Kluyveromyces lactis: one gene and its partner. The protein of the gene in region 1 interacts with the protein of each later gene in a pairwise test. Links are inferred from orthologs where the notes say so. Each region holds a gene or a part of one and is shown in the gene's direction. Other genes may lie near its edges.

Region 1 (3,094 bases):
TGCTTCCCCAAGTAATTGTCGACAATACTTTCATCTTCATTTTGTCGTTTCTTCAAAAGGTCGGCGGATTTTCTTGCTAGGAATAGTAAATCATCTGGTTCATTAGATACTTGTTCCTCGTATAGTTCGTCTTCGTCGAGATTCCTATAATTATCTTTCCTCTTGATAACGGTGTGTGACAATGCCTTTGACGCTTCTTCTTCTTCTGGTTGTGGAAATGTTCGTTTCTTGATCAGAAACCGAGGTTTCTTCGCAGGAACTGTGTCTGATATTAAGTCATCAATACTGACGGGCCTTAGCATGGTAAAGTGTGATACTTTCTACCCATCTTTACAATCGTGTAATATTGCAATACCTTTGAGAAATGAGATGAGCTCCACCGTCTTAAAGCTTAAAGAACTTAAAGGCACAGTTTCTGATATTGTCGCCACGAATAACCTAATACGGTATATGTCCGGGTAATAACATCGCCCCAAACCTGTTCCGAAAAATCATGGCGATAATCTCAATCAATCTCTGGAGCTTTGAAAAACTCCAGAGATTGATGAATCATGATTTAAACAAACTAACCGAACACTTTCATGACATTGCCAAGGTTGAATTCATATATAACTGGATTCATCAACATATCAAATCTACATACTTTCTACGCAGAACTTGTCATTGTGTTCATTTGTTTGAGCTAGTAGCTTTATTATCAATCATCAAGGGAGCTAAAAGGGTTTACTAAGCATAGACTAAGGGAGCTCATCAAGGGAGGTGGTAGAGTTTAAAAACAAGAAAATATCCCATCTCATTTGACATAATACAATTATGAGTGCAGATTGTTCCGTTGGATCAAATCCTCTCGCGCAGTTGAATAAACATGCCCAGCAGAATCCTGCTCTGAGACAAGTGGGGTATCAAAATCCGGCCAGTAATGTTGCTCAAAACTTCAAAACTCATGTGAATGAAGTATCCAATGCAAATCGTTTTCAAATGGACCAGTTTATGAACAGGTCACCTGGTTTTTCTGATGGTCAGTTGGGAATGGCGCCTGTTCCTAGTGCTATTCTTTCGCATGGTCCTCGTTTTGGACTAAAGAAACAAGATAGTGGAAGCAGTAATATGTCAGCAGGCGATACAGCTCAGCATTCCAGGAGCTGGGGTAATGAATTTAATAGCAGATCTCCTCAACAGGGTTTAGCCAGCAGAGTCAATAATGTTGAAAGAATAAGCAACACAAATTCTATGAGTTCATACAGGCCTGGCATGTCCCGGATCGGGAGGCCGATGATGCATACAGGTATTTCTTCATTACATAATTATTCTCACATGTCTCAGCAAACACCGCAAATGTCCAGTGATGATGGTGTTCTCGCTGACAAGCAGTGGAATGAGCAGTTTGAAGCCTTGGAGAAGGCTGTGGCTGAAAATTTGACCATGGAGGACAATAAAGAGGAAACCAAGGAGGAGATAGTAGTGGAGGATGGATATCAAGCAGACTTCCAAGAAGTCTGGGATAAGTTACAAGCGGAGACGGCTGATAATAATTTGGAAACAAGTGATTCTCAATGGGAGAAAGATTACGCTCGCTATATGACTGGTAAAGCAACACATATTCCACCTTACAGATTTGATAATGATAACCAATACATGCATAATCCAAATGCCTATGAAATTGGATGTATCCTAATGGAAAATGGGGCGAAGCTAAGTGAAGCTGCATTGGCTTTCGAAGCTGCTGTGCAAGAAGACCCCGCGCATGTAGATGCATGGTTAAAGCTTGGATTGGTTCAAACACAAAACGAAAAAGAAATGAATGGTATTAGTGCGCTTGAGCAATGTTTAAGCCTAGACCCCACTAATCAGCAGGCACTCATGACAATTTCTATCAGTTATATTAATGAGGGATATGATCTGACCGCTTTCAGCATGCTCAACAGATGGCTAGATAGTAAGTACCCTGAGTTAACACGCTCCCCTACCATTGATGAGGCCAATATCGATAGGTTTAATTTGAGCAAACAAGTAATCACGAAGTATTTGCAAGTAGCTAACGCCTTGCCTCAGGTGGATCCAGAAGTTCAGCTCGGTTTGGGAACGCTTTTCTATGCCAATGAAGAGTTTGGTAAGACAATTGACTGTTTCCGCACCGCATTAGAAGTCAATCCAAATGACGAATTAATGTGGAACCGTTTGGGAGCCTCTTTGGCCAATTCAAACCGTAGCGAAGAAGCTATCCAGGCATACCACAAGGCCCTTGCCTTGAAACCGTCTTTTGTGAGAGCTCGTTATAACTTGGCCATTTCGTCAATGAATATTGGCTGTTATAAAGAGGCTGCAGAGTCTCTGCTCTCTGCTCTATCTATGCATGAAGTAGAGAATGTTCCAATTACTGGATCAGTCGTGCAATCTAACAATATTCTGGAGACCTTAAAGCGTTCCTTTGTCGCCATGGATAGGAGAGATTTGCTAGAAAAAGTCATGCCGGGCATGGATCTACAGCAATTTCGTAATGAGTTTAACTTCTGATAATGCAACGCAGCGAATAGTCTTTGTTTGATAGGACCATCCTCATATTCATAATGAATTGATCTTTCACCAAGTTTTGCGGAAAAATACATTCGCATAATTAATTACAAGCATTTAGTCGCATATATGTAGTCGTCATTCGATTGTATTCCTCAACGAATAGTGCAGAGGTCCATGCTCACGATCAGTGTACCAGTCAAAGTGTTATGGTAAGCTGTCGCGGTATCTAGAGACAGATTGCGATTCTATCATTTCTACCGGGTAACATTTTCTTGTTTTGGATTTCTTCATTTTAAAGCGAGTTGCAAGAATTTGAAGTAATGTCAACAGAGTAAAAATATATGTTCTCTATAGATAAACTCCAGAGTAGTACAAAACAATCATTTACTGGTTGTTGTTTGTGTATCTAAGTGATTTCGTTAGTACTTCAATACGTTAAGGAAATATAGTGTGACTGCTTGGAGCAGAAAATACTATTGATCGCGTTTTGCTGTTTTTCTGAGGCATCCAACTTGATCCGATTTATTGTATATTGTACGTGAACGAGAGACCAGTCAGAAAATCTAGATAGGATCAATGA
Region 2 (3,768 bases), on another chromosome or scaffold:
ATCTGGTAAAAAGGGGGAGCCTATTAAACAAAAGGAAAACAAACGGTACATCGAATATATATGTCATGGGTCACAAGATAGAGGAAACATTTTGAATTGAGCTTGTGGCCTATCACTAATCCACAACTCAGCCTTACTCGTTGCTTACTTGCTTCTGAATATCAAATGGAACTAGAGAATGTCCTCGGCCGGGTAATAAGTATTATGGTTATATACAAGCATATATATATATGTTTACTGCACCACATTTTTCACGTAACGTGACCAGCATATTCAAAAAAAAAAAGGAGACAACGAAGTTTTATATCCGGGTAACAATATTAGACCCCCTTTTCTCCAAATCCATTCTGTTTGTCACGTTACCCGGAAATGCATCGTGTCATTACTGACGATCCGTTTTATCACATTTCTCCTCACCAGCAGTTCTCCCTATGTGCTAGCTCCGATTTCGATTTCAGTCATCCCGAAACTTGGAAACCCCTACTGCACATAATGTGCACTCGCAATGAGGAAAGAATATAGAAGCAGAGAAATGGTTACAGAATATTAACGCCGGAAGGGTATCGGATGGCGTGGGTAAATTAAGCCCGCCCAGCGAAGGCACGCTTGAAGCATGCGCTTACATATCCAAACTCCAATTACTTTATTCTCTGTTCATTAAGCTGCGATTATCTCTATCCTAAAACACTAGTAACAGCTGGTGTGATCTTCTATTTAATTACCTTGAAGGCATTCAGTTTCGCATTATATTGCTCGCTCGGTATATTGACTAGTGCTAGTTTAGTGCCCTTGGAGTTAGCGCGGATTGATTAGCGTATTATCTGAATCCCTGAACTTTTTTTTTGTGGGGAAACTCTCGGCCATATCATATTGTCCCCTTCTCTGGAGTTAATCCTTCTCCTTTTCTTTAACGCCCACATAATGCGTACCTTTGGCTTCATTTGTTCTGAACCACGTGAGAATTTAGGCGCCTCTCTTTAATTTGTATATATTCTTTGTCATGCGTCAGCGTTTTCTTACCCCAAATTATGTTATATAAAAGAACTACATCGAAACAGTTCTACAAGAAAAGATTAACATTCCAGTAAAAGATAATAGATTGATACACTTAAATATTTTATTGATACTGAGAACCTTGCGTGTGTGATTACGATAATTCCGAAATCACATATCTTTAAGAAGGATTACAAAATAAGATAATCAAGACAAAAAATGACTAGACAATCTACGGTAGATCAAAATCAGTCTACGTATAATGCCAAGAACTTCATTACTAAGGAAAGACAAGAATCAAAATTAGATATTGACCAGTTGAATGTATTTTTGGAAAATGGAGAGCAAGAAGCGAAATTGACCCATGATTTGATCGAAGAAATTATCAATGACCCTATTTTAAAGACGGATACGGATCATTACGATATTACGAAGTCTCAGGAAAGAGAGATTACTGCAAGAAGAATTGCCAGGTTATCGCTTTATATGGAACACGATGTGAAAACCAAACAAAGAGAGTTCAAAGATGATTTGGTAAAAAACTTAGAAAGGAAGGACTCGAAATTGTTAACGAACAAGGATCTATCTATCTTTGATAGAAGATTATCACTTGTTGCGAACATCGATCCAGGTTTATCCACAAGAATTGGAGTTCATCTAGGACTTTTCGGGAATTGTATCAAGGGTAATGGTACCGACGAGCAGATCCATTATTGGCTACAAGAAAAGGGAGCTCTTTTATTGAAGGGTATCTATGGTTGTTTTGCTATGACGGAATTGGGACATGGTTCAAATGTGGCTCAATTACAAACTACGGCTACCTATGACCCTAGTTCTGACACTTTCAAAATTAATACTCCAGACTTGCTGGCAACTAAATGGTGGATTGGTGGTGCTGCTCATTCAGCAACCCATACCACTGCTTATGCAAGGTTGATAGTCAATGGTAAGGATTATGGTGTCAAGACGTTTGTTGTTCCTCTAAGAGATGAGAAAACCCTCAACTTATTGCCAGGTATAATGATTGGTGATATAGGTGCAAAAATGGGTAGAGACGGAATTGATAACGGTTGGATTCAATTCAAGAATGTTGTCATTCCAAGACAGTTCATGCTACAGAGATTTACCAAGGTTATTCCTGGTTCTCCACCGAAGGTTCAAACGCAACCGTTATTGGATCAGATTTCAGGGTACAGTGCATTGTTGAGTGGCCGTGTTAACATGGTTATGGATTCCTTCAGATTTGGCTCCAAATTTGCAATTATTGCAACACGTTATGCCGTAGGTAGACAGCAGTTTGGTCCTGAAGGTAATGAAACTCAATTGATTGACTATCCTTTGCACCAATACCGTGTGTTGCCGCAGTTGGCACTTTGTTATTTGGTGGCACCCACTGCACATAAATTGATGGGAACCTATATTTCAACCCTAATGGAATTGCATCAGGCAGGAGCAGATAAAGCAAAATTGATTAATGTTAGTAATAAGTTGAAGGATTTATTCATTGATTCTGCCTCATTAAAAGCTACTAATACGTGGTTGGTGGCCAAATTGATTGATGATCTCAGGCAAACATGCGGTGGCCATGGATACTCTTCCTACAATGGATTTGGTAAAGGCTACAATGACTGGGTTGTTCAATGTACCTGGGAAGGTGACAACAATATCCTCTCATTAACATCAGCTAAGAGTATTGTTAAGAAGTTTGCTGATATCTCACGGGGTAAAAATACTACTGTCACTACCGACTCATTAAAATACTTGACTCCTCAGTTTATTGGTAAGAGCTTGTCCAAGGACCTGACCTTCAAATTTGACAACAAGAAAGATTTCACGGAAATATGGGCCGTCATGATTATTAGATTGATCCACCATGTGGTAGAGTTGATTTCAAAGGGTACCAAAATTGATTCGTTATCCAAAACTTTAGTTCAGATTTCAAAGTTCCATGCAATTCATTCTATGCTCTTGACATACCAAGACAAGTTAAACAATGAATCTGAAGCATCAGTAAAAGATGCTTACACGAAAGGTTACCTATGGAAGCTATATGAATTGTTTTCTTTGTATTTCATCGATCAACATCTTGGTGAATTCCTTTTGTTGAAAGTTGTGACGTCAGATCAAATGTCACAAGTGCTACAGCCAAGATTATTGCAACTATTACCTGAAATAAGGAAAGAATGTATAGCATTGACAGATGCCTTTAAACTACCAGATGCGATGATTAATGCCCCTATCGGATATTACGATGGTGACATTTATCACAATTATTTCAATGAAGTGACAAATAATAACAAACTTGAACCTGACGGCGCTGGTAGACCACCATATTATCCATTATTAACCAGCATGCTTGGTCGCGACGATTTTCAAAACAGATTAGGAGGTTCCTTCGAATCAGAAACCTTAGATTCTTTATTGAAATAATTACATACGCCCTTATTTTTTTGTATCAACCATGTAACCTTAATGAATGTAATGAAAATATTATACTGCTCTGTTAATAAGGAAGGTGTAAGACAAGATCTAGCCTCAATTCAAAAGTATCTCGTTTCAGTGGATGATGTATTTGTGTAAACATAAAACCAGCCCCTGATACGTATCAAACTTTATATTTGGAGCTCAAAGTTATTTTTCGATTCTAAAGCATGTGAATTATGCGTCTATTGCTTTTCATTTACATAAAAAGGCAATTGACCGTTCACGAAATAAAGCATTCCCCCTTAGCAAAAAGTCCTTTGGGATATTTTTAGTCGATATGTATCAATATAC

Evidence for each region.
Region 2: the proteins of PEX5 (region 1) and POX1 interact in a two-hybrid assay, tested with the Saccharomyces cerevisiae proteins (2 studies listed by BioGRID). The link is inferred for Kluyveromyces lactis from reciprocal best matches to the Saccharomyces cerevisiae genes PEX5 and POX1.

The regions. Positions count from the first base shown.
Region 1 is NC_006039.1:1,340,757-1,343,850, forward strand, and holds PEX5 (Pex5p), read left to right. Parts: upstream 1-813; coding exon 814-2,514; downstream 2,515-3,094. Other genes in the region: mRNA splicing protein PRP28, read right to left, coding at 1-302; MNN10 (alpha-1,6-mannosyltransferase), read left to right, coding at 3,091-3,094. UniProt on the Saccharomyces cerevisiae protein: Receptor that mediates peroxisomal import of proteins containing a C-terminal PTS1-type tripeptide peroxisomal targeting signal (SKL-type).
Region 2 is NC_006042.1:916,802-920,569, forward strand, and holds POX1 (acyl-CoA oxidase), read left to right. Parts: upstream 1-1,212; coding exon 1,213-3,423; downstream 3,424-3,768.